Linked DNA regions of Schizosaccharomyces pombe. Changing the gene in region 1 together with any one later gene gives a genetic interaction. Each region holds a gene or a part of one and is shown on either strand. Other genes may lie near its edges. The genes, in order: SPOM_SPBC3H7.05C and toe2.

Evidence for each region.
Region 2: of SPOM_SPBC3H7.05C (region 1) and toe2, changing one suppresses a phenotype caused by changing the other (phenotypic suppression), as found in Schizosaccharomyces pombe (one study listed by BioGRID).

What each region holds. Positions count from the first base shown.
Region 1 is NC_003423.3:1,864,856-1,876,157, forward strand, and holds SPOM_SPBC3H7.05C (uncharacterized protein), read left to right. Parts: upstream 1-8,943; 5' UTR 8,944-9,603; coding exon 9,604-10,677; 3' UTR 10,678-10,802; downstream 10,803-11,302. Other genes in the region: elongator complex subunit Elp6, read right to left, coding at 1-476, 559-753; palmitoyltransferase Erf2, read right to left, coding at 1,542-2,594; SPOM_SPBC3H7.08C (uncharacterized protein), read left to right, coding at 4,397-4,465, 4,535-4,586, 4,747-4,988; phosphoserine phosphatase Ser2, read left to right, coding at 5,479-6,276, 6,348-6,446; F-box protein Pof9, read left to right, coding at 6,992-7,356, 7,427-8,465; SPOM_SPBC3H7.04 (mitochondrial 37S ribosomal protein mS42), read right to left, coding at 11,042-11,302.
Region 2 is NC_003424.3:1,013,824-1,031,911, reverse strand, and holds toe2 (protein toe2), read right to left. Parts: upstream 10,243-18,088; 5' UTR 9,996-10,242; coding exon 9,105-9,995; exon of another isoform or gene 9,066-9,104; coding exon 8,118-9,065; intron 8,077-8,117; coding exon 8,038-8,076; 3' UTR 7,777-8,037; downstream 1-7,776. Other genes in the region: histone acetyltransferase Hat1, read right to left, coding at 219-494, 551-914, 986-1,101, 1,191-1,409, 1,471-1,574, 1,625-1,682; ssd2 (succinate-semialdehyde dehydrogenase), read right to left, coding at 2,115-3,596; fap2 (L-saccharopine oxidase), read left to right, coding at 6,435-7,736; oac1 (anion transporter), read left to right, coding at 11,338-12,300; post-transcriptional RNA stability regulator Mkt1, read left to right, coding at 13,037-13,043, 13,085-15,182, 15,243-15,546; dnf1 (P-type ATPase), read left to right, coding at 16,584-18,088.

The DNA.
Region 1 (11,302 bases):
TCATCCTCCGGGGTCTCGCATATTCCACTACGAAAGTGATTTGGCATTCGAGAAAGACGCAGGAATCCGGTGATTCGTCGAGCGCTACCGCTAGTCAAAGGCCGACAGGAAATACATCTAGTTGCCATGTGTCCGATTGAAGAGCCTAAAGACTTTTGTTGTGGTAACGGAGCTCCCAAAGTCACGTTTACAATGACTCTACTGAAACATTTTCGTAATTCCAAAATTGCCTGCTGAATCTTTGTGGAATCGAGAGCATGAGTACTTTGTAAAATATCAATATCTTCTATGATGATCGTGGAGTTTTCAAATTCAAAATCGTTTTCCTCCACACATTGGATCACAGGCGCGAAAACAGATTTGATGTGATTTTTGGTTTCTGGTGCTTGTACCTTCGAAGGCTTGGAAATAGGAGCAAATAGCATGCTGAAGCCATCGATAAAGAAGAAATTTTTTTTCGTTTTAATATCCATTCCCTAATATTGGTTCAGTAGGTTAGTCATACGAATAGTTTATCATTCAACCACTTATGCAATCGTAATCCCTCTTTTTACATACCCATTTACGCATACTAATTGCATGCTCATCTAAGGTTTTACTGAATGTTAAAAAACAAGTACTTTCCTTTGCTTTCAACGCATGGTATAAATAATAATGGAACAGAAATGTGACAGGTGTTTCTCTTGTTCCCAGTAGCAAAGTTAAAGAAAAAGGCTCAGGAATGGGGCGTAAATGCTCGTGTAAAGAAGACATTAGGTTTAAGAGCCGTTTGTCATTAGTTTTATAGCCTAACTACAGTAACCAGCTTTCCGAATGGTTGTAGAGGGTGAATGGAAAACACAAGCCTGGGAACGGAGCAACATGAACCAGAGTAAGAATGAACAAGCCGGTCAGTAATGCAAAGCTAGTTCTAATATTATAGAAGTTTCAAGTATCAAATTAAAGAAGTCTAATACCAAATTATTTTCCAGAAAACTATCCTCTAAATGTGGATAAGCTATTTCATTAAAAAAAGAAAAACTATCTACCTATGGAACATTGATTTGCCTAAAAGGCAATCATAATAATAAAAAAGAACAATAAAGAGCAAATCCCAATAAATTAGACTGGAAAGGGGTTTAGCTAAAGGAGGTAAAACCATCTATCTATCATATAAGTCATAAAAACAAGCAGCATTACTTTAAAAATAAAAGAGAGCAGCCAAATTAAATATTAATAATTCCAGAGATTGGTGAGAACAAGGAATAGTTTTATAAACATTTGTTTCTGTACATTGTTCTCTGTAAAGTACAAAGGGCGAGCTGAAGGGGTCGACGACAAGGATGAAAAAAAAGAACAAAACATTATCCAGGTAAAAATTTTGAAGAGGGGAGTAATCTTTTTTATTCCGGTTATTAAAACCAAATTAATTTCGGTACTGAAAAGTAAATTGGTAAGGGGAAGATGAAAGAGTGTAGCATATATGCGTGAGCGATTTGAGCATTATTGTCTAGCAAATAAAAAATTTTTATTTCTTATTTTCTTTGTGAAGCCAAGGCATATTACACGTAAGACTTCCTAGTGGGACGAACGTAACTCACATTTTTAGGACGACAAAGGACAACCAGAAAATTGAGCCATATGCTGTCATGAAAAGGATGTACATCTTCAGTTTCTGTACTCTTTGCTCGTAAGTATTCATGAACATTCTGACCAACAGATATTAAATAGCACTGGTAACAGAAAAGGATGCCAGGAAGTATTGCTCCAAGTGCCCCATAAATGCCAAGGAAGAAAGATACGCCAGCCCATGGACGACGAAGATGCGCCGCAAAATTTGTATCTGTGGATTCATGAAAACTTCCTATAGAAGTATAGAACCCCAATCCAGTTAGATACAAAGCTGAAAGAACGACAGATAACAAAAAAATAAAATAATATCTGTAGTTTCGACGACCAATGCAAGTGTTTAACCAAATGCAGTGATGATCAAGGTATTCAACACAATTATCACATAAATGACAATGGCTTGCACGTGGAGGACGATATAAGTGGCACGTATGGCAATAAACTGTATTAACAAAGACAGAGTCAGACCGAGTGGATCCAACAAGGACTTTACGGTCTTCAGGAATTACAGACCAGGGATGGGCAGGGTTATAAGTTAAAGAATATGCATTTCTAGGAAGAATTCCTGGATCAGCAGTCGAGCACTTGAACATGGAAACAACGGCTAAGGCATACAGGTAAGCAAAGGTAATAGGGACAGCGGGAGAGACATGATGCCAGAGCCAAAAAGCAGAAAAGATGAAGAAAAGGACTCCTGGAAGAATCAAGGCAAACAAGCTAATGAGGAAAGCTTTGTACTGAGATGACATTTGCAATCGACCACAACATAAATAGATATTGTTTCCTGGTAAATTCTTATATCGGCTTTCAATATGCGGTACTTCCGGAACATCATCAGGAACGGATTGAAATCTATAAGGAATTTGGTTCTTTTCTTCCAAATTCATGGGATACGTTGGATCAGACAAAGTCACCTCAAATGGATTCCATGGCTGATTCCACGCGTAGCGGGATGCCTTAGCATCACTGTGTTTCTCATAGCTCATGATTATATTCTCTAAACAACAAACATGGCAAAGAAACAGCTATTTTTACACCTGGTATTATATCTTGTAGTTTTGTTGTCGGTAAGGATATGAACCCCTTTTGCGATGGAGGGTGAAGTAAATATTAGCATCCGCCAAAGTTTGTTTACTAAGCAAATAAAGAAATCAAAATAAATAAACAATTAGAGAATGTGACTCTAATAACTAATATTTGGAATGGCGCCTATTTAATCGATGAGAGTGTATTAAAAAGAGAAGGGAAATAAAAACAGAATATGAAATGAAATGCTAAAAAAAAAAATACTAACCGAAGAAATAAAATTAATAATAATAAATAAAGTACTTATTTTTTTTTTACGAATAAAATGTAAAAAAAATTATTTAAGAGTGCCAATATATTAGTATTTATATTTTTCAAACTTTTTATTTAAATATATTTCATCGATACTGTAATTGGAACATCCTGTCAGTACAACAATTCAGGGCTCAAAGTTAGAAAAATCAAGTTTAATAAATTATACTATCCGTGCAATTTCGGGTTTGTAAAGAAAGTGGATAATATATGGAAAAATTAGTAATATATGACTCGATAAAGACTCCAAAGACTAAGATAAAAGACCAATATCATGGGAAGTAGACTAGCTAGTAAACCATTTTCATCTTGTGTATTATGTTTTTTTTTTTTTTTTTTTTTTTTAAAATGGCTAAATAACTAGCAGGAAAATAATGGGAGGGTGTAATTGAGAAAATATTAGAAATGAAGGTACGGAAGCAACGAAAAAAGATCTTAAAAGTTTATTAGAGTGTTGCAACTATTGAAATTATGATTATCGCGAAGCTATTAATGAAAGGGCTAATTTAAAGGATCATCTCTATACTTTCACTAGCCCCGAAATAACCCAATAACCTCTATGGCTTGTAAACAAATAACTCAAGAAACACGGTATATGGTCAGTTATGGATGAAATTTTGAAGAAAAATTATTACTAATCTACATCTAAGAAAAACCATCCTGGCTTCATTCACTGTATTTAGTGGAAATGTAGTTCACAAGATTATCGAATTAGATTGTTATTCCTCAATATGCATGACTCCAAGCGGTCCTTTGGTTTTATTTCCTGTTTTAAAGGGAAATGAATTAAATTCTTATTCCTTAGAAAATCTCAATGACGCTTTTAAACGTACTTGTACATTGGACCTACTTTACTGGAGAAACATTTGCGGTCAGCAACTACTATTAAGTTACTAACCTCATGGCAGCTAAATTTTGAAAAATGACTATATTTATTTATAATGGTACGAACCATTTTTATTTGTTTGCGAAGTTTTTTAGTGTTCTCTTCTTATTATTTACAAATATAATCTTAGGAAAAGTTTAGTAAATAAGTGTCCTAACAAATTCTATAGTATAATACAAGGGTAGAGGTAGTATCTGAAAAGTATTATAAAACTGTATAAAGCAATATAAATACAAGGGCGGTTCGATCCCGATTGCAAACGCTGGAAAATCTAGAAATATTGGAAAGTTGCTTCTTTCACCACTTTAGTAGAAGGAGTTGGTGATTATTATGATATTATTATCCATTCAAATTTGAATCTCTTAATGCGCACCGTTGCTACGTCTTGTCTGCGTCAGGTGGCGATCCCCATAAATATTGATGCTTGTCATAAATGTTGCGAATGTTCGCCTACGTATTTCATTTTGACATTTACAATCATAAAAGGATTTTAGATCCTTTCCATCTCGAAACAATTAATCAAACTATTCAAGCGAACAAGAACTTTTTATTTTTGGAACCATCATGTCAATTATGCGCTCAATTATGTCGAACCGCCTGGTTCGCTGGTCAAGAGAATATCCAGAACTATTTGTAAGCTCAATTTTTTTTTGAAAAATATATTGAGTTGATTATTTCGTAAGCTGATCAGTTTGCTGTTAGATAACTTGGTGTGTCATGACTTATACCTTTGGAGTTGCTGGTTATATGCTTGGTATGTTAAAAATTAGTAGAAAATTAGAAATCAGCGCAGTTAATGAAACATTATACTCAATTTTAATATTCTGTTAAAATTTTCCTACAGAATATTTATTTTACAAGCGCATTTACATATGATTGTTTAAATTAAATGATTGTAGCTAACAGTTTTTTAGGACAGCGGGGCTTGTTGGTACAACATGAAGATCAAGTCCGAATTCCTTCAAAAAATGCTCACCCCTGGGAAGACACCAAAAGCAGTAGCGGAAAAAGTGATGAGAGTCTTGATTATAGCTACAAGTATTATCCTCGAGGAGATAGGAGTAAAGAACCTCGAAAGGCACCTTCTGCTATTCAATACAGCACTTTTCCCGTTAAAGGTGTATCAGAAGAGGTACTTGAGCGATTCTCTAAGTAAAGCACATTAAATTGTGTATAACCTTTTAGGAATGAAAGAGAACAATTATTACATTGCCAAATATTTTTTTAGTGCTTTTTCACTTTACAAATATCTCACTCTCTACTTTATGGTAGGCTCTCATTTTTGGAATATTTGCCCTGATATATTGCAATATTTCCAAACATCTTCTTAGTTATGATTTCTTGCTTTATTGCTTTAATGTATAAAAAAAATATTTGCTTATTAACCTGTGTTTGAAAACGGAGTTTAGGCACCACTTTACCAACTTCACAATTTATACAGCATTTTGAAGATAATGATAAATTTGTAAACAATAACAAAAAATAAGCTTGTTTGAGATTTTCAAATAACTTAAATTGACCTAGTACTTGTTGTCGTTTAACGTTAAGCTTAATCAATAGCCGAGTAATTAGTAAATGGGACTTGCCGAAAACAACGCTTTTCAACTTAGAAAATTTAGCAAACCCACTCATACCTTTTAATAAGCATGGTCAACGCAGCCATAGTTGTTTCCTCAAATCGTCCAAATGTGCTTGAACAGATTTCCTCCTTGTTTAGAGATGGGAAGACTCGTTCTCTGGGGGAACAGTGGACTTTAGTATCAGGCCAACTTAAAGGAACGTTTGAAGATGCTAAAGACGCTTGTAACCGCATTTCTGCTACTGAGAATGTAGACTGTAATTGCTTGAGTGAAGCAACATTTTCCACTAAAAAGAAGCTTGTAGTATTTGACATGGACTCGACGTTGATTCAACAAGAGTGTATTGACGAGCTCGCGGCAGAAGCAGGCATCCAGAAAGAGGTTGCTACGATTACATCTCTTGCAATGAATGGGGAAATTGACTTTCAAGAATCACTTCGTCGTCGCGTTTCTCTACTACAAGGGTTGAGCGTCGATGTCATAAATAAAGTCATTGGCAAAATTACTTTCACTCCAGGAGCTAAACAGCTTTGTCATTGCCTTAAGCAAATGGGTGCGACTCTTGTTGTCGCTAGTGGTGGATTTGTTCCAATGGCTGAATATGTCAAGGGACAACTGGACTTGGACTATGCATATGCCAATGTACTTGAATTTTCCGATGATGGTAAATTCCTCACTGGAAAAGTTCAAGGTGCAATTGTAGATGGACAACGAAAAGCTTCCATTTTGCGTGAAAAGAGGGAAGAGTTGGGTTTAAATAAGCTCGAAACGATGGCTGTTGGGGACGGAGCTAACGATTTGGTCATGATGGCCGAATCCGGTTTAGGAATTGCGTTCAAAGCTAAACCCAAAGTTCAATTATTGGTATGTTCGAAATTTTTTTACAAATTTATGTTTTTAATGATCTTACTAACTCGATTTTTTTTTTTAATTAGGCTGATTCGAAAATCAATCTTCCATCTTTGCAAAACGCTCTTTACCTCTTGGGTATTGATGAGCAACAACAAAAAAAGCTATTGGAAAACAAAAATTAATTTAGAATTTCCAAGAATTTTTCAATCGCAAGGCGCTGTCAAGAACTCTGAGCTACTGTGGCTTGGTTTTTATAAAGCAATATTTTACTTGTGCGCGTGGTCTTTTTTTCTGTAGTAGGAGCCGTCTTTTATATACCCTACTTCTTTATTTTTGATACTCTTATTTTTCTTTTTCCTTAATTTACAATTTTGGTATGATCAATGCTTCATTGGAAAGGGTGTGCAATGAATGCTTAAAAAAAAAGGGGCAGTTCAGAAGCTTTCTTCTTTAAAACAGACAAGAATTACTCAATTGGTTTTTATAAAGCCGATCATTTACTCTTAAATCTGCTTCGTTATGCTGATAGACTTTGAAATTGATTCGTGCAATGACTACACCTTCGTTTCATAGACCTTTCTTTATTATCATTTATTAATTGTAAATAATACAATTGTATCTAGTTATTAAGAGTTGCAGAAAACATGTGCTTTTGACGTATTTCAACACCGTTTCCCTTGTATATATTCAGAGGTATTCATATACTACTACCCATGCGAGATTCATTATGGCTAAATCACCATTCCTGGAGCTTTCTTACGATATATTGCTAGAAATTAGTACATATCTTGATTATAAAGATATAGTTCATTTGTCAGAAACATGCAAGTCACTTTCGTATGTTTTTGACGACAAAACAATTTGGCATCGATTTTGTGCACGGGTCCAAGGTCTCACCAATGTAGTCCCAGTTGTTGATGATAATTACAAAAGACCCTATGCTGTATGGAAAGACCGAGGATACGCTTACTCATGGGGGCAACAGATAAGAAACTATTTGGGCCGCGTCGTCAATACAAATCAGTATCCTCGAGATCGTCCTGGTGCATTGACTGGGAAGGACGTTCGTTCTACTATTCAGGTTCAAGTTGGGTAAGCGCATAGATACAGGAATTTATTTGACTGCACTACAATGACTAACTATTCCCTATGCGGAATTTAGAGGTTATGGGATGTATTTATTAAATGAAAACGGAAATTTATATGTTACGGGGGTACCAAACAATGTTGGGCCCGAATTGATGAGAGATTTAGAGCCAATTGTGAAAATCCATGCTGGTCGAGAGTTTTGTCTTGCACTCGGTGAGACGGGACACTTGTATCAAGTATCTCTAAAAACACGAATTTGCTTGACAGATGAACAAAATATGCTATCAGCCTATCGCGGAAGAATTGCTAATTTTAAATCAGGTTGGGACTCGCATTCGGCGTATGTGCCGGGCATTGGCTTTCTTGTCTGGCACACTGGACGAGAAAGTGAAGCGCAACTTTTCCAGCCAGAGGCATCGATGAAGGAATTCGTGCTGAACGATTATGTTCACTGCGCAGGATTCCTAGTGTATACTGTCGCATCACCTCAGAAAAAAGGCGCCGTGTTTCGTTTAGACCTGGACCAAGCTACACAACACACGCTAGGAAGAGAATTGAAGAGGTTCGCTTCGCACGACCCCCATCAAGGTTGGCATTTAGCAGGCAGCTTTGAAACTTTCACATGTTTATCGGACGATGGCAATACTGTTTACATGGGTCATGCTAATACCAAGCAGGTCGATGATGACCCGGTTATCCACGACTTTCTCCAGAACCGAGGAATTAAGCAATTGGCGCATGGCGATCATCATCATCTTTACTTAACAAGCGATCATTCCATATGGTCGTGGGGTGTTGAATTACGTTATTGTGGGTGTTTAGGTTTGGGTTCTCTTCATTTGCAAGAACAGACATCTGATCCCAGCATTGTTTCTGATCCACGCACCGCACGCAACATCGTTTCCATTCCACATCAAATTCACTTTTCAGGAACTTGCTATTCAGTTGCAGCCGGCGGATGGCAAAGTGCTGCTCTCGCCATTTCGGAATCTGTTTTACCCGAAGTCAATGTGCCTCCAATTACAACTTTTTCTATCATCCGACCATCCAGAGTTCCAGCGTTGCGCTTTTTAGCTGCCCCTGCGACTCGGACTTTGGAAAGGGACGGCTAGGTGAAATAGTGATCAACTTTGCTTGGTAAGCTAATTTCCGCGTGCGCACTAGAGAAGGATTTTATTTTGTCCGCTAAGTAAGTGAAATAAATAAATATCTCGGCCACCTCGGACTTCCGAATTTATCTCTATTTTTACTAATTCCTCTAGGTAAGCCAATTATAAAAAAAAGCAGCACAAGGAAAACACAACGGTGATTAAATAAGTGAGAAAATTTTTTTTCCTTCTTCCTGTATCGCAATTACATAAAGTACACACATTGACCAATTTATATTCCTGACCCCTGTGAATTAAGTTACTGTGCTACTACGACGAGTTTTTACCAAACATTATTATTTTTTTTAATTGATTTGGACTGTAAGGAAGGTTACCGATTTTCATATTAAATCCTCGGTGGTCAAAATTTGTTGGGCTCTTGCTCTCTATTTGTCGTTTGCGTTGGTGGTTTGTAATATTCCTAACCACCCCATTTTTTTCTGGCGACCCTAACTTGGGGGTTTTGTTTACAGATCCAGGTGTCGAGAAAACCGGTATTTTCAGGCAGAAATCGATCTTAAGAGACGATTTTTTCTTGTTGGGTTGACTACCTTGTACCTGAAATCTGTTGTGCGAAAATTTCCAGATTTAAAAAATCGTGGATTGATTGAAGGGCAATTGAAGATTACGGGATGCTATTTTCCTTTTCATGCAATTAGCAAGTATTACTGATTTATTTGTAATTCCACAGTGTCTGATTTATTTTTGTTAACAACTATATTATAACACTTTTTTTTCTTTGCCTTCATCATCATCATCATCATCATCGTTGTTCTTTGTTTCTTTCAATAAGCATTTTGTCATTTTCTTTTATCATTATTGTCTTTTTTTCATATTTTTGTCGGTTGACTGATTGATTGTAAATAAAGTCTCATAGTTATATAGAGTGTGGTTTGCCTTTTCTTATTGTTTCGCCTTGTCTTGTCTTGTCTCGTCTAGTGTTGCTTGTATTGTCTTACCCTATCTGTTCTTTTTCTTCACTTTTGTTTTAACTGCGAATTTTCTTTCTTACTTTTTTGCTTTTCTTCCTTTCCTATTCCTCCACTATAAAGTTTTCGGCGTTTGATCATCTACGAACACGATCTAAAATTCAATTACTTTCATGTATCCATTTTCTTTCGATCCTTCTTCCAAACTTCCAGTCACAGGTATTTATAACATCCTTCTGTTCAATCTATTCCCTTTAGCTACATACCTTGTCGAAACCTTTTGTTTTTTTCGCCGGTGGAAAATCGCCTGCACTTTGTTATGTTCCATCACGGTTATACTGGCGTATCGCATGTGTGCTGTCTATCACCATGTTGGTTATAAGGATGTCTCTACATTTGGTTTGGCATATGGCTTTCTCATTATGATGTCGCTTCGAACTTGCTTTTTGAGTTGGCGAGATATGGTACCTTCTCGCAACGATCCTGTACAAATCAGCGCTGTTAAGCGTCGTCGACCATTCATTCGTAACGCTAGGTGGAACTTTGTTGATTATGCACTTTCTTTGCGCAAGTATGGTTGGACTGACGACGTGGTTCCCCCTTACTGTAGAAAAGTGCTGACTTACAAATCTTTGGGGATACGTACTGCTGTCTATGTGGGTGCATTTTGTTTTGTCAATTGTTTTAAAACTCGTTTATCCAATTGGATGTTGCTTCCTATATCAGCCAACCCATGGTATATTCAAGTCGCATTTTGCGTAACCTCTGGATTCTTTTCATATTTGTTTATTAATGCCTTGTACTATTTATTCGCCATTATTTTTGTTCCTCTGGGAATTTGGGATATTGCAGAGTATCCATTAATGATGGGAAATGTATCTAAAACCACCTCGGTTAATGATTTTTGGTCCAGAGATTGGCATGTTTGTACCAAGCCCTATTTCAGAGTGATTGCTTGGGATCCAACTATTGCCCTCACTGGAAGTAAGTTTCTGGCAAGTTGTTCATGTTTTTTCCTTTCAGCATTATTCCATGACTTTGCCTATTGGTCAATTTCTGGACGCTGTTCACCTGCTTTCTTTTTTCAGCTTTTAATTCAACCTTTCCTTATTAATCTTGAAAAAAGGATTCCCCTCTTGCGCAAATATCATTATTGGGTCCTAATAATCGAAATGCTTATTAATGGAACATATGGTATGGGAGTCGTATTATTAAAATTTAAGTGGAAAACATGCTCGCAAATTTAATTTACTGTTTAATGTCTATGTTTGACCTTCCGAAACCTCTAAAGTATCAGATAATTGCTATGTGTCCTAGTTTATACATTTAATGGATGGTTCAACTAAATTAACTTTTCCGTAGATATTGTTGGAATGTTAAATAATATATAGAGGGAAACATTACATTTAGCATTCTAATTCTCATTCTTTGCCAACAGTAATTACAAAACTTTATTTATTTATAAGATTTGTTAATAGTATGGGTTTTTTCAATCAGATAAAGTGAACCCATAGTAAGCCACCATGATCACTTGCATACAAAACGTAGCCGGGAGAGGAGGGGAGAGAAGTAGAAAAAGATTGAAAATTGTGCAGGATTCAGTCGGGTTAGCTAAAGGGATTCAATGCGCGTAGCTTGGAATCTATTGTTGACGACCGTCCAATTGATCATATCCCACCATTTTGTAATGTACATTTTTTTACCATTTAAACCATAGTCGTCAAGATACGCATATTGCCAAAGGTTAACGCATAAAAGCGGTACAATTGCATTGGTACGAAACTTAGGAAATCCTGTTCCCCAAAGAAAGGCATTTGACGCATTGTACGTGCATAATAAGGAAAATAAAGATTTTTCTGGACTATATACCAA
Region 2 (18,088 bases), on another chromosome or scaffold:
GATATCACACTAAATTTGCAAAATATATACAAAATTTATATTATTAAAATGATCACTGTTTCAAATGTCTTTAATCATTTCAAGCGAAAGCTTTCAAAAGCAAATTATATAAAAAGTAATTGCGTCCAATAGTGTAATTTAGTCGATTCTCATAACTTTTTATGCTAATATGCCTTCAATATTCTCAAAGTATTTCAGATCTCTAAAAGTGTTTTCATTTAGGAAGAAGATTGAGCAAGTTTTTGGCGTTTTCGAGGCGAATCTTCCTTAAGCTTGGGTAGCTTTTTGACAATCTGTTTATACTCATCAAACTGATTTTCATAGGCGTTATGAATTTTTTCAATACGTTCGGACTTATCCAACTGTAGCAACACATCAAGATTTTGACGAAAAATCCTTTCCTTTATTCCTAGTCTAACAGATTTCCGCTCCAATAATGAAAGCTTTTTTAGTTTCGTTGTAAATGCTAATTCACAACAGCGTGAGAATTGACGCTAAAAAAAGACAATTAGTAAGTTGCATTGCATGGTAAATTTAGCAAATTACGAACCTGGGTTAACTTTGTTTCAGCTATTTTCGAGTTTATCCACTGCCTAGAAAGAGAGGGATGAAAGTCAGGTTCTGAAAATATTCCCATTGATAATAATCTTTTATAGTCGCAATGGTCTCTAAGGCTATCAAACGCTTCCGATGCATCCTCAACTGTGAAGTCTAAAATTTTAGGATTTTTCAAAAAGGTACTAACAATAGCATTGTACAATTGCGAACCGTGTCCTTGATGTTGAAAAGGGGGTAAAATCACGAATTGTGAGATACGAGCTCGAATACCATCGTGAATTAATTTGTCCCATTTATAATATTTGTATACAGTACAATAACCACGTAAGCAATAATCATCTTCAGTAGTCTCGTAACTTATTTTTGTTAATAAAACCTCGATAAAAAGGTAAAAGGAAAGTAGACGCGTAGAAAATAACAAACTTACAGTAAATATACCATCCATCTTGGATCATTAAGGTCAATAAAAGAGCCCCCTTCAATAAAAAATAAGGAAAATATTTGCAAATGCTGCATAATCTCACTAGCTTCAAGAACCGTTGCCTATTAATACATTACGATTATTAGCCAAAGAACATATAGGGATATTCAATAATTGAATACTTCTCCAATTGAAAGGTAATCGAACATACTTGTAAAATCTTGAATGTTTTTCCATTAAAGGAATAGTTATGAATACTATTTGCCGAATGAACGTCAAATGAGTTTCCTTCAACCTTAATGGAACGATCTTTTAGATAAGTGTTTAATGTTCCTTCAATATCAGTTGGTTCCACTCCTGAATCTGGTGCTAGGCGCTCTGAATATGAGATTTCCAGTTTTGGGACCATCAATGGGCATTCATAGGTTATCTAATAACTGTTACTATTTGCAATCAAATTTCATGACTAAAACTTGCTGATTTAATCTTACAGTGACATTTAGATCTTTATATCCATAAATAACCTCAGCATCTCCAAATATTGCATATGTATTGCTAGGATGGTATTGACAATCTTTTTCATGCTTTTCGTTTACTGACAGGTGTTAACACAAGGTAAAAACATTATAATTTAACATAGCATACCTTGTACAATTTCTATGCATTCATTGGCATTATGTACCCATTCATCAACAGCACTCATCACTGCATACGGAAAATTGAATACCTGACCCTATTTCAAGTCAAACAACAAAAAATACATGTGTCTAGTTGGAAGTAACAAACTACAAGGCGACGCAAAATTTCACGTGCTACACCTGTTATTATTAAAAAATATTTACTATTATATAGATTTCTAGCTCCAGTATTGCCAATTTTAGAACCTACAATTCTTTATAACTTTTCAGATTGCTCAGAACAATAACTACAAGTATAGATTTTCTGACACAACAATCCATTCTTCATCGATGACCCACGATGTTCAGGTATTAAATTTTTTTGATATCATTAAACTAAAATACGATTTGTATCGCAAACATGTAAAACAGTCATAACATCAGGATTTTTTAGTCATTAACCAAAAGAGGACATCATTGCTTGTTCAATAATATGCAGCTTTCTAAAGCGAAAATCCTTAAAGAGTCTTGAGATTGATTTCCTTAACCACCATAAATTCTTGAACGCCCAAACGACCGGCTTCCTTGCCAAAACCGCTCTGTTTGATGCCGCCAAAGGAAATAAATGGTTCGTCAACCATTTCGATATTGGCACCTACAAGACCCACCTCTAGTTCTTTGGCAACGTGGATCATTGTGGACAAGTTATTGGTAAAGACGTAACCGGCCAAGCCAACATCACTGTCGTTAGCCCATTCGATCACCTCTTCGGTGTCGTCGAACTTGAAGACAGAGGCGAGTGGGCCGAATGTTTCCTCGCTAGCAACCAACATGTCTTGAGTTACACCGGAGAGCACGGTTGGTTCAAAAAAATAACCTTTGCTTGAGGAAATCTCCTTTCCACCAACAGTGATTTTGGCACCCTTTGAAACAGCATCTTCAATGTGCTTGCTGACCTTTTTGCATCCATCTTGAGAAATCAAAGGGCCAACAGCAGAAGAAGAGTCAAATCCATCTCCTACTTTAATGGTCTTGACTTTTTCGGTAAGCTTGCTGACGAATTCGTCGTAAACATTCTTGTGAACGTAAACTCTGTTAGGGCAGACACAAACTTGACCACAAGAGTTAAACTTGATAGTGCAGAAAGATTCGACAGCCTGATCAATGGGGAAGTCAGGGAATACAATGAAAGGGGCATTACCTCCTAACTCCATTGAAACCTTCTTGATTGTGCTGGCACTTTGTCCCATAAGAATTTTACCGACATTAGTACTACCAGTGAAGGAAACCTTACGAACGATAGGGTTGGTAGTCAGTTCTTTACCATGAGCAGATGCATCAGAAGAAGTGATCACATTTAAGACACCGTCAGGGAAACCGGCCTCTTGCGCCAACCTGACTAAACCTAAGCAAACGTAGGGAGTGCGGAAAGCAGGCAAGAAAATAGCGGTACAACCAGCAGCCAAAGCGGCACCACCTTTACGAGCAATCATGGCGGCGGGGAAGTTCCAAGGAGTAATCAAGGCACTGACACCAACTGGCTGTTTGATGGAGATGAGAAAGTTTTGACTTTGTAAGCTGGAAGGAGCTACATCGCCAAAGGTACGAACGGCTTCAGCAGCATACCATTTAAGATATCCGCTACATGTGGTGACCTCCATCTCAGCTTGGCTCAAAGGCTTGCCGTTTTCTAAGGTAAGCATCTTGACCAAGTCGTCTTTGTTCTCCATAATAAGCTCTGCCCAGCGTTCCAATAACTGACTACGTTGGACATGAGTAAAATTTTTATAAGTTTTGAAGGCCTCGTTAGCGGCACTGATGGCTTTTTTTGTTTCCTCTACTGAGACATCGGCCACTTTACCGATTATTTCACCAGTAGCTGGGTTATCAACCTCAAAAGTTTTGTTGTTAGGAGAAGAAATCCATTTTCCTTGAACAAAAGATTGAGCATGAGACTTATCAAAGCCAAAGAGCTCAGGGCGTTTGAATTGAGGGGCCATTTTTGAAGAGTATTATACAAAAAAGTGGGAAGGAGTAAATGTTAAAAACTATATGAAACGAAGTTATCGATAGAAATGTTATTATTATTTATAATAATAACAAATAATAGCGTAAGCAGCAACAGATCTTTCGTGGAAAAAAGAAGAATGCAGGTTTTTTTAGTGTTTTCAAATTAAGCTGCAGATTTCTTTTTTTTAATGTAGTGTAAACATCGAGAGAAACGATGCATATTTATAATTTTTCAACAAGACATTTAATGATCAAACCATAACGTATGCATCTTGGTTTTCCGTACTAGATTTACGTCTCAACATCATGTTCTTGGTGTATGCAAACATTTCCCCTGGAAAAAAAGAAAGGCGTATTGAATTTGCGTAAATATCGGCAGACTAACTTATAAATCATAGTGTCTGGTTTGTTAGCTTACGGCTCCCGTCTTCTTCAATGATGTATATAGCGAACTTGGTGGAATTGCATTTTTTACATCATATAATTGAGTGCCACCATATGTGAATATGTACCGACTTTACTATACTGAATGGCAGTAATATAAGCTACAGCTACTGTGAATGAGTATGAAAAGAACAGTGGGTAAAATCGCTTCGCTTTTCATATTAAAAAATGTATTTTGTATTAATGCGGTTTCTTTTTTTTTTTTTTTTTTTTTTTTTTTTTTTTTAGCGACATAATTGGAGTGAAATAAATAACTAAAATAGTATTGAAACTTTTATCAAAAAATAAAATTAAACATTTGTGGTATCCGTGCTTAATTTTTCCTTGCTTTTCTAACGATTATTAAAGTTATCAGTATAGTAAGTTACATATTTAATTTAATTTTAATTAATTTATTTACCATCAATTTTTTTCGTATTTTTTCCATATATTTTATTTCATATTTAATTTTAAAAATTCATTTATTCATATGGTGTCCAACTTTTATTTTAAAGTTGACAATTATCATATAGTACCCAAAAAAAAATAAAAAACTCAATTGGTATATGCTGCATGGATCTTATACAGTGCATTCACCGTTTGTTTACATAGTTTTAAAATTTTGTAATCGCAATGTTTCCATTTTTTACTGCTTTACGAATACACAATGGCTTTTTTTTCAGTGCAGCAATGGAAGAAGCATGTCCGATTGATATGGGCACGTAATTTTTGGAAGAATATGAAAGAATCGATAATTTCTTTAAAATTTCTTTATTACTGATCGGCGCTTAAAGTAATACTATACAATTTACCATGCAAATAACATTAATCTGTAGTATCGAATAAAAAACAAGTAAATGATTAAAAATCCCATAACATGAAAATGCTTACAAAATTAACATTGAATAAATCTTTGTAATGTTTTATCACTTTTGAAGAATGAAGATCGACAATATATACTCGTTATTTTTGGTGATATCTTATTTTATCAATTAAAAATTTGACAAAAAAAAATAAAATAAAATTGGACATGCGCAACAATTGAAAAAAGCTCAAACCTGATTTATTTTGCTATTTCTCATCCTGCCATTAAATTTTCATTGTCATACAAAGCTATATCGGCTTTATGTCTGTGAATCTTCTATGCTACATACCTTCTTTTCTTACTTCTGGTTTCTGCTAAGGTTTATTATTTTCTTAAACTCAGACAGACGGCAGTTAAATCATTAAACGAATTTTCATATGTTTGGTGTGCCAAGAAAATTTTCCATGCAACAACAATTCATAAATTTCTTAATTATTTTTTAACTATCACTTAACTGACAAAAGTCGATTTATGTCACACTGAAATCATAATGCGAGACTAACTTGGGTTATTATTGACACATAGGTTAGGTTATTAAGGTGGAAGAAAAATTTACTACTTTTTTTTTCTAGAGATTTTCATGAACCAGACATACAAAAAGATAATATTTTACTAATACAATAGTTTGTTTGCATTACAATTTAGCAACATTCTGCGAATTTTGTAAACATTGATTTAGTATAACGATATGGATTGATGCTTTTAAATGAAACGTAACGATTGCATTAGCACAGCGGCGATTTTTTTATTACGTAGCCCTCTATTCTTGCTCTTCGTTACGATACAGTATTTGGTAAACAAAGCTCTGCAACTCATATGCCGCTGTTTATGGAAAGCGGATTATTGTGATGCCTTACTGGTTTGCCAAATAAGGAAGAAGATAGTTAATATTAACTGTGAGGACGAGGAAACAGCATAATGAATGCTGCAATCCTGCTAGCTCATTCGGTTTATCAGATCAACATAAAGCCAGAGCTGAATCAGTCCAAAATTTATAATACAGTAACGCAACTTGGCATTTGCAGGTCGAATAAAGAAACTTAGGCTTTTAAAACTATCAGCTGGAACATATAACGCAGCACAGCATTACGTTTGCATCCTTTGCGCTCAATCCAGCAACACCAATACCGTTGTGCCTAAATAATTGTTAAAACGAATAGCACGTGCCTATGTTAATAATGCATTAAATTGGAGATTCAAATAATGAAGAATTTCTGAGACATCTCTGCTTCCTTTGTTGGTCGAATTGCTTGATCTTTGTTATGTACCTTACCCTATGTTGAGGATAATTTCTTAACCATTTTCTTACAAAATCAAATGGAACCGATTACTACATGGTTATCTAGCTGAATGAAGGCTTCTTTTTTTGCTAATGAATCAATCAATCAATATCTTTGCAACACTATATTGTTCTCATTGTGACTGATTGATATAAATTTATTGCGAGAAGCCTGGATGCTAAAATTGTTCATTGCATAGACCACGAGGTTGATGGCTCCCTTATTCATTCCGTTAGCCATAATCAAGTACCCACTGAGCCATGTCGAGAACCATTGTCATAGTTGGATGTGGAGTTTTTGGCCTTTCAACTGCAGTTGAATTGGCAAAAAATCATTCCTTTGATAATATCATTGCTATTGATGCCGAACCCGTTCCTTCCAGCATGTCTGCAGCAAACGATATCAACAAGATTGTTCGGCCAGAATATGCAGATCTTAAGTATATGAAATTGGCGTTGGAAGCAATGGAAAAATGGAGAAATGACCCAGAATTGTCCTCTGTTTATTTCGAATGCGGCCGCTTAAGCACCATTTCCAAAGACCCATACAGAGCTCGTTTCGATGAGGTAGCCCAACGAAACTTGAGAAAGCTTTTAGGAGACTCTGCTCTTATTAATCTTTCCAGTTCAGAAGAAATAAGAAAAAAATATCCTTCACTTTTTTCTAATTCACCGCTGCGCTCAGACATGCAAGCTGTCGTAAATGAACACGCTGGTTATGCGAATTCAGCTGCTTCTCTAAAATTACTTGAGTTAAAGGCTAGGGAGCTAGGAGTTGAGTTTGTTTTTGGTAAAGCCGGTAAATTCAAAAAATTTGTGGTCAATCATTCCGAAACTGATATTGATAAAAACGACAATCATGTATCAGTACAAACAGAGGACGGTACTATATATCATGCTGATACTATTTTACTAGCTGTTGGTGCTTATTTGAACGCTTATTTAAATACTTCTCATCGTGTCTGTGCTAAGGGTTTACCGGTCGCGCATATTCAGCTAACCGATGAAGAATTTAAGACTTACAAAAATATGCCTATTATTTTTGATCCAGATTGCGCTTATGCTTTCCCTCCTTATCCTGTGACAAAGCTCATAAAATTGGCCAGCACCGGATATGAATACGTATGTAACGTTGAGACCGACTACGACGAAAACTCAAAAGTTGTTTCCATTCCTCATTCCGGACCATCTAAAAGTAGTCTACCAAAATATGCCATTATTCAAATGCGCCGTTTCCTTGACACCTTTTTGCCTGATCTTGCAGACCGCAGCCTGATAAACACGAAGATGTGTTGGATTTCTGACACCGAAGATGCAAACTTCCTTATTGACAAGGTCCCTCAATTTGATAACGTTTTTGTCGCAAACGGAGATAGCGGACATGCTTTCAAATTTCTTCCCAATATTGGCAGATACATAGCACAACGTATTTTAGGGGATTTATCTGAAGAATGGAAAGATGCATGGCGTTGGAGAGAGGATGATAAAGCTTCAGAACTGAAATGGAGATGTGTTCGCTCTTTGATAGATTACAAGGATGCAGAGTTTACTTACGACAAGTGAGTTTAATTTTTTGTTTTATATCCTATAGTTTTACTCACAGTTTTGTTGCTGCATTTATATATTTAACTATCTGTTTATTATGTTATTATTTTCGATAGATAAACTACAGCGTATTATAAGACAACAAACAAACGTAAATAACTCTTTAAATCTGACCAGTTGACATTTCACTAACCTTATCGCTTTAGCGGACGTAGTTGTTCTGTAATTGTAAGAACTGGCATAAATAAATTTTTAAATACAAAATTGGCGCGTAATGTGACGAAATAAAATAATAAAAAATAGACATTTGCAATAAGCTTTAGAATGGACAATGTTGAAATATAGCATCCCAATCATCCTAGCAGTTGTTAGCTGGAAACACAAACACATAATACATACCCAATTGATATCAAGATTGTTAGCATCAAAAAATTCAAAATTTGTAAGCCTCACATCAGTGGTCGATACGTCGACAGTGCTCAACCCAAGCTTTTCCCAAACTTTTGCCCTTGAAGTTTGTAAAAGTGCCCAGGCTTTTTGATAATGCTCTTTACCAGAACTGCGAGGAAAAAGAGAAAATATTTTGTTTAAAAGAACAACTCGTTCATCATCCAAATAAATGATTTTTTGAGAATTTAGTAAATCGAGCAAAAGCACGATGCAGGGATGAAACGGCGGATATCTCCAAAGATACCATGAATACTTTGAGTATTCTGGATTGCTGCCTAGTTCGTACAGCTGGTTTAAAGCCAGAGTCGCGGACTCCAAAGCACGCGAATGACTGTAGGCGAATTGTGCAGAATTTTTTTTTAAAAGGAACGGAAAATGCAAGAGAATTGGGAATCTGTTTGACAAATAGGAAACTAAAAGTCGAATATGCCGTTCGTGCATAGTATTACTAGTTGGAATATTCACTTCTATCAATTCTTTAAAAAAATTGGAAAGCTCCCTGTCAAGCTCTAATAAACGTGTATAATTAGGAGCTATAATGCCTAGCAAAACTTTCAAACACTTTGAATATGCTCGTGAAACCTTCGTGATAATGTTAACAAAAGTGGCCTCAGAAATAATAACGGAAGAATCTACATTATGAATTTCATCAGGTAAAGCAGAGGGAAGACGTGTATCATAATTTCCCTCAACAATTTGAGGAGGATAACCAATAGTTTCAGAAGTTCTAAGATCCGACAAGACTATATTCGCCCACACACGACGTCTAATCTCGGAAATTACCGGATTAAGTCCATAAAGCGAGCCATCTCTGTGAAGGCCCATGCATAGCGCTACGTGAAGAATCAAGCCGACTAAGGAAGGTGGAGCGCGAATGCGGTCAGAATCAAAGACAACCTAAATTGAGTTAGTTAAACCCATTTCAATATCACAAACCTGACAAAGAACAAGAGCTTGCAAAGCATTAAGATCTGGTTCAAACAGAAAATTAGACGAAGCCAGTGCGTAGCGAAAAGCTTGATGATAATCTACCTGAAGATATCTCTCGTCTTCACCAAGCGCCCATGTCTTTTGCACTTCAACAGGTGTAGCTAGTAATGCACTAGCATAGATTGCGTATAATAAACTAGTAAAAGCTGGTTTTCGCAAGTGCGGTTTTTCCCAAAAATCATTATATCGTACATAAAAAGTTGGTCTGTGTAAAACATTAATGAGCATATGACACCGAAAAAAGAACTGCTCAATTAAAATATCCGATACTTTTTTGGGGGGTAAATAGTCGTATGCAGATTCATTGGGGGATATTCGAAAAAAAAACGGACTAATCAGAGAATCGTTTTCTTCTTGAATATCTTGATCTAAGTTAAGATAATGATAATTCCTTAAATGCCAGAGTACGTGTGAAGAGGACGAGTAGTTAGCATATTGTGATTTTGTATCATCTAATACTGAAAGAGAACCAATGTTTCGCTGTGTCTCAGCATCTGCCGAAGGCGTGGAAGGAAGATTATGAGATTGTTGGTTTTCATAATCAGATTGCGATTTAGTGCCGACCTCATTTAAACGTTTTTCCAGCATGCTAACTCGGGATAGTAACTGATCTATCAATTCGTCAGCTTCGCTACCCCGTTCAAAGCGCTTGTCATAATTAGTTTTCCCAGGATCTATATAAATACATGACTGGATTGTTGATCGCTTTAAGCAATTGGAACAAGGTCTTCCATGATCACATTTAAGTTTTTTTCTTCGACAAGCCAAACACGAATGGATCGCCCTACGTGATGTCTGCCCTGATTTTTTAGAACCAGACTTGGTTGTTTCACTCATATGCTCTTCTTAAACATCAAGTTATATAATATTGTGAAAGATAAAGTACAATTGAATGCTAGATTCTTCTAATTCTTGAATCAATAGACGTCAAAAAAATGATACTTGCGACCAATTGACAGGAGCGAAAAGAAGTTAATTCCGTAATATATAAAAAAGTAGTCTTGGCTTTAAATAGGCAAGAATTATATCTTTAAATCTTATTGCTATACTGATTTTGAACCAAAGACACTTGTGTTTGGATGTTGGCGAAAAGTAAATTCGTAACACCAAACACAAGGCACACTGGACAACTTTTATAAATATCCACTAATTTCAATAGTAAGCAATCTCAACAGCAGACAGCTTTCGGATAACATGCGTTAGATACGTAAAGCACTCAAATAGAAACATATAATTTACACAGGGATTTAATGCATTTACTAACAAATTACCATTCTTAAATATGACTGATTTCTATTTCAAAATTCAATTGCCTGCCTTGCGACAAACTATCCATCAAATTTAGTACTTGCATTTTTTTCATTGATCACAATTTATACCCCGTATGTATAAAATCTTACTAAAAGGCATCTTAATTGTCTGAGTAAGAACTTTGGTTAAGGGTAGACGGTTGAGAGCATGCACTTATTTGAATCACTTTATGGCATTTTCTTTATAATAGTACAACATTGCAGAAGTGAATGACATCTAAAGCTACTGCTACTATGATTTTGCATTTGTCTTACTTTAACATTATCTACCATGCGTTTCCAACGAATCCTATTTTAAAGTGTAAAGTCAGTTAAATGTTAACTGTGTGTACCTTCCTTCCTTCGAACGATCGCATTTATTGTTGACAAACATTACTCAAACTTTCAAATGACTTTTATTCAAAAAATTTTAAAATTCTACCAAATATTTGTAGGACAGAGAAAGAAAAAAAAAATATATATGATTGTAGGTAAATCCTTAATTTAAAGAGGTTAAGTGCGTTCTAGTATCTGTATTTTCAAATAGTAAACATAAGTAACATGTGACCTGTTTAATTTAGCATTAAAATGGAAAAAGTATAGAGCAATTAGGGTGCCTTGTAAATAAAAAAATTGCAATTCAATCTATAATTTTTTTATTAGTATCATTTTGCTTATTTTTTGAGTCCGTACGAAAGTTACGTTTTGCCTTCCCAAATTGCCGCAATGGTAAATTTTCCGCGCACAATTTAATCAAGGCTATTATCACTGAAAAAATCTCAACTGCAAGAATTCTTTTTCCTTCGGCCAACACTTGCTACGCAAATTGAATTGCCATTTGAGGCAGATTTTTTTGTTTAAATTCGAAGAAAAAATCCCAATATTAAGTCATGTCTGAGAAACAAACTATCAAAGCCCTTCCTGCACACAATCCTACTCAGGTGAAAAAACTTGGTCCCGTTAGTGGATTTTTGTCAGGTGGTCTTGCAGCTTGTGGTGCTGTAACACTGACAAATCCTTTCGAAGTTATTAAAACGCGTTTTCAACTTCAAGGTCAATTGACAAAATTGGATCCTTCTAAGCGAATTTACAAAAGCGTCGGTCAGGCATTTTCTCTAATCGCTAGACATGAAGGTATAAGAGGTCTTCAACGAGGCCTTGGTACTGCTTATGTTTATCAAATCTGCCTCAATGGCTGTCGTCTCGGGTTTTACGAACCGATTCGACGTACTCTGAATACGTGGTTCCTTGATGATCCCAAGGGTAATAAATTAGCTATTAACGTTGCAAGTGGCGCCGGTTCAGGTTTATGTGGTGCCTTGTTTGGCTCTCCCTTTTTCTTGGTTAAGACTCGCATGCAGTCGTATTCTCCTAAATTTCCCGTTGGCCAGCAGTATGGTTACAAGCATATATTTAATGCATTCAGTCGTATTATTAAGGAAAATGGTGTTAAGGGTTTGTTTGTTGGTGCTGATGCTGCCATTCTCCGTACTGTCTCTGGTTCCTCTGTTCAGCTTCCTATCTATAATTGGGCTAAACGCATGATTGAGCATTACAATCTATTGGAAGAGGGTATGATCAAACACTTAACTGCTAGTGCTGTTTCTGGATTTGGTGTATGCTGCACCATGCAAATTTTCGATACTGTTATGACTCGTATGTACAACCAAAAGAACAAGGAGCTTTATAAAAATCCGATTGATTGCATCCTTAAAACAATCCGCTCTGAAGGATTCTTTGCCTTATATAAGGGTTTTGGTGCTCACTTGGCCAGAATCGCTCCTCACACAATTTTCTGTCTTACCTTCGTGGAGCAAACCAATAAACTCTTTTTGAAATTCCAAAAGGATTAAGTTGTTTTTTCAAACGCACGTTTCTTTATTTATAAATAATTTTGGTACTAAACCATAAAAACCCCCAGTGGCTTTGGTGTATATCAAGTGAACAGTTAAATTGTAAAGAAATGATGTTTGTATCTAAGAACGATTTTTATTTACATTCGTTGTCTCGTTACTTATTTCCACTCTACTTTCATTTAAAAGTCGATTTTTCTTTTCAAGCTGTTTTTGATCAATCGGCATGTTTTTGTCTTTTGTAATATATATCCGTCAGTTATCTCAATATATGTACGTATTTGTTTTTGGATTTCAGGCATCTGGCTGCGTTTGTATATCAACTTACCTTTTATTTAGTTATTAATATACTTATTTTCTCTATAATTAAAGATTGGAAACATTACCGCTTTGTGTAGTCACAATGGATAAATTTCTTCATTTTGCGTCGTTTTTATTTGAAATCTTTACATTTCGCCAACAGTTATATGTTTTTTAGATAAATCATGTTAGTTTAATAAAATATTTTCTGAACTTCTTATCGTAGTATTCGTGTTCACTAATTTGCTCGTTCCTGCTGACTCTAATAAACGGATCGGACACCTCTATTCAGTACAACATAATAAAATCTGAATATATCCGTTACATATAAAAATAATCTGTTTGTTTTTAAGGATCTATTAAAGGTTTAGTAAAAAAAAACCGCCTTACGGTTTAAACTGCTGTTTGGTAAATTCAGTTAAAAAAAAGAAAAAAAATGACAAGTAAGTTAAAATACCTTGCTACTCATCTGCTAATTTTTTAGTTCGTTCATTGAATTTGTTTATCATAGACAAAAAGCATCAACATAAATCTAGCTTGAGCAGTTTTCAAAACTGTAAGTTGGGTATTGACGCAAGTTTTTACTTGACTCAAATTATTCATTCCTTTACCCCACAGGAACTTCAAAGTTTGGCAGTAAATGGTGAATCCGAATATCTACAACACAGAATTTCGGAATTCCTTGAGCAGTTGAGAACTGAGAATATCACACCCATTTTTGTTTTCAATGGTATACCTCTTACCTTTGAAGCCAGCAGCCAGCTGGAAGTGCCGGGAAAGCAAAAAAGTCATAGTGCATTGACAGATTTCGAAGCTTTTGATCCTTATGATGCAAATATTCAGCGTAATATGTACCGCATGGACGCAAGTGGTCCTGCGAATTACGGCGAAAGTAAACCAACACTTTTGTACACCAATCAGCGAGATCATTTAGATCGTCTTTGCGACCAGGTAAAGTTTTACTTAGATCAATGTAATGTGGAGTATTTTGTCGCCCCGTATCTGGCTATGGCTCAATTAGCATATTTTCTAAACGGCACATCTTCACCTTACATCGATGCCATCTATGGTTCCACGGATCTGCTTCTTTTTGGTGTTAAAAAATTTATTACTTCTATGAACACATCTTCTAACGTTAAAATCTCATCTGACCCTTCATCCCCATCAACTCAAACAACTATCAATTCGGCCGCTAAAAGTTCATTCACATGGTTAGATGGAAATGCCCTTCTTCAAGACACGAACGGCCTTTCATGGCAGCAGTTCATCGATTCCTGTTTATTGTGTGGTACTGCTATTTCTCCTACATTTCCTCAGATTGAGGGTACTTTTCTAATTAAAAGCGCAATGGAGCTTGTTCGTATGTTTGGTTCTGCGTATCGTGCAGTCCTTCATTTTGCTGAAATCTTTCCCCAGCCCATTTTTCAAGATTATCTTCAACAGTACAAAAGGGCTGTTTGTTTCTCTAAGTTTGGAATTGTGATGGATACAAAAGGTCTCACTTTACCACCAGTTCCCACAGAATCTGTTCCTAACGACATAAATATATATTTTGGCACCCGTCTTCCCAACGAGATTTATTTTTACATTTCTCGCGGTCTTATTCCTTGCAAAATGATAGGTGCTTTAGTATCTGGATGTTTTAGTGATCCTGTTTCCATACTTGAACAACATATTGGTGACAAAGCATCACAAGGAACATTTTCTGGTGCTAATTCTGGTTTAAATCCTGGTCGCGACAATGCAGCAGCTGTAGCGGCTGTGGATCAACGGCGATTTGTTGACGATTTAGAAGAAATATGGTCGCAGGGGCTAAATTTATTGACCCAACCGCTTAACAGATTTTACCAAGCCAGAGATATTGTTTCCCTTCATGGCCATAATCAGCAAGCTTCTTTGAAGGTAATGCACAGCTATGATCCTCCTTTGTATAATGATACGAGAGCATGGATGATATACGAAGAAAACTTACCGAGTTATTTATCTAGTAATTTTTTAAAGGAAGAACCCGTTGTATTATTTGATCTACTACGTGCTTTGAACGATCCGGTATTTGTAAAGAAAAGCTTTTGCACTGAAGGTAATATTGGCATAAAAAACCCTCCCAAGCATCCTCTGTCTTCTACTGCGGAAATCGTCTTAAGTTCTTGCTACAGATTTTTGCAAATTAGATCTTTCGTTTTAACATCTCATCAATTAACATCTTGGGGATGCCCCTTGTTAAAAGCGTTGGAAAATTGTCACTTACAGAACCAAACTTCCGTTGTTGTTTTATTCGAGCTTCTTAGACTAAGACAATTAAAAGAGCCCTCTTTACTTTCCTCCTCAAGTGCAAGCATCGCCGATTTATCCATAACTTCTGCCACAGAGTTCTTGGCAAAGGTTGCAACATTTCTACCAATAAAACAGAGACCTGAAGTTAGTAAAATTTCTATAGTTGATGAGAATTTATTACAGTTTTATCAGCTACAAACTAGCTTCGGATCCAACTTGAAGGAACTCATGGCCATGATTCTTGCCTCGGTCATCTTGAACAGAAACGTCGACAAAAGCAAAATAGATCCTAAACTTATCCGAAAAACGTACGTGTTTTTTTCTCTTTCTCCTTTTTTGTTTATATTTAAAGTTTCTAACCAATTTAGCTTACCTTTTCAAAACATAAATGGTAGCCTTGTCTCAGGTTTTGTTGTCAAGCGCTTTTTTGAAATCATTTCAAAAGAGCAAGAAGCCAGTTCTCAACAGGAAAACATCCAGAAGGCTTATGAAATAATAGAAAAGGAATTCCCAACCATTGGATCTGCGGAAAACCATATTGCCCAGTTTTTGGAATTCTGGAAAACTTTTATGGAAGGGGTTAAGGAAGCAGAAAATACAAGTGCCATTGGCAAGCTCGTTTTAAGTAAACTCTTCCTTACTAACCAATGGATATTTTCTCTTGGCTTATGAAGACCAGAACTAGTAGTTTATGAATAGAAATAAATTAGTGAGAGAAGTATCCTTCTTTTAGCGGGAGCTTTTAACACATTCGGCACAGTCATAATGCACATTTACATGAATTACTTTCCCTCATACTGTCGAAGCATTTTCAACATGCTATACACTCATGTGATTACACTTGATTATTGTTGAGATATTATTTCGAACAAGTAAAGTATTGTTAATATTAATATTCAACTACATTGTTTCTTCCCGAAAAAAGGAAGGGAAAGAAAAATAGAGAAGCACAGCTTTGAATGAAAACCCAATGATGTTTAAACTTTTTTATAGATATAGTTTAATTTGTTCTAAAGGATACTATATTTATTTTTAGCAATACACTTACCTGTCAAAAAATAACTTATACCGTTGTTTTTACACTATAGTATGGGAATAATTTTTAACTTATTTGATAAGTTCAAGCGGATTTTTTAGATTTTAGTTTATGTGTACTGGCTCACTCACAAAAAACCGAATTCGCATCAGAAACATAATTTTACCTAATCAATTTCACGAATTAAAAACCTTGTGCTTACAGAAAGACTTGCTTAGTTTAACCACTTACAAGCTGGATAGTATAATTTTGTTTTAAGATATTTACTGTATAGATGCTGTTTACGACAACTTGCTAGCTTTGAGAATCTCCAATTCTCACACTAACATCTAATAATATTTGTCGATAGTTAACAAAATTCTGACAATGTCAGTTTTTAAATATAAACGGTAGTAGTTGAAGTAACTGACAGTTAATCAAAATCTCTGTAACTTATTGTTTACATTGCATATTGCGAGACTTGACACACTATTTAGAAAGTCTTAAGCAAGCGTAAGCCATTACTGTGGAGTTCATTAAGCTTAACTTTAATGAACTGCTATTAGTGTAGTCTCATTTTGTAAGGCGTAGCACAATGTCCCGTGTGGTTCAGCAAGCTACCATCAAATAATAGTTTGATTTTCCATTTGGTGTGAATCTAGCAACAACCAACATTATTTGTTCAGATGCACTTATGAAGTCTAGTGGTATCGCAGGCGATTCCAATGGATTTGAAACAAATTTTCTAAATGAAACGACTAATCGAGAAGAAGATGGTGCATTTAATTGGAACGCTGCAGATGATGGCACTAACGAACGAAGAGAGGATATTCATGTACGATTTCAGGATAGCGCTCTTCCATTAGGAATTGATGAAAATGAGCTTGATGAAATTGATATAAATGGGGACAGCAAAAAATTGGATTCTGTTGAAGTTGACGAATCACACGATGTTAATTCGCCATCAGATAGCAGACTGAAATCATCTTTCAAGTCGGTATTAGAACTGACAGCTAATTCTATGGTTTCAGTGTTAACTCCATCTACCAAAACTGAGCAGACCTCGAAAGGAAAGGGAAAAAAGAAGAAAGCACATGTTTCCTTCCTAGAGGGACCTGTGGAAGAAATCCCATTAGATGATATTGAGCCTACTTCTCCTCGTGAGGCATCACCTGTGTTCAATGGGCGTCCTCCAATTCCTCCGGAATTTTTAAAGTCGCGGCATAAAGAGTTTACAATACCAAATCCTTTGCAGTTCATTTCCAATTTCTTATCCAACTTGTTTTCGCGTGATACACGGTATTTGAAGTCGAGTCATGGTCGAATAATTATCATAAACCCTTACGATGACTCCTCCCAAATTGATGAGCGTACAGGAAAGCCCTATATGCAAAACAGCATTGTTTCGTCTCGGTACAACAAATACAATTTTGTCCCTTTACAGATCATTGCTCAATTTTCAAAAACTGCCAACTGTTATTTTTTGCTGATTGCTATTATGCAAATGATTCCAGGTTGGTCAACCACCGGTACTTACACTACAATCATCCCTCTACTTATATTTATTTCAATTGCAATCCTTCGTGAAGGGTTTGATAATTATCGGCGATATCGCCAAGACCGCGTAGAAAATAGAATTCAAACTCAAGTTCTTCGTCACGTTGATGTAGATCCGCCTATTGTTGAAGAGCACTCATCTTTTTTTCGTCGTCGGCGGTGGAGAAGAAGTAGATCTCAAGAATCTGCTTCAAGGAGTACTATTCGATCAACTGATGAAAGAGAACCTGAAAGAACCTCAGAAGATCCACCTCAACTTCCTCCCTCTCCCTCTTCCCCCTCTTCTCCGGCGTTAAGTGTCAAACCTAACATTGACCCGCAACCCCCCTTGTATAACTCTACTTTAACTACTACTCGCTCCATACCTGCAAATAAGCCTACTTTTTTTTGGGCTAGCTGTGATCGGAAAGATGTTCGAGTTGGTGATATTATTCGACTGACAAGTGATCAAACTCTTCCAGCAGACGTAATAGCTTTGTCGAGTCCCAATCCTAATGGCGCTATTTACATCGAAACAGCTGCACTTGATGGTGAAACATCCTTGAAAACTAGACTAGTAAACTCCACGCTCCGCTCTCTTTGCAAAGACATTAATGATTTAATACGATTGAGTGGTACGTGTACTGTTGAAGACCCGAATGG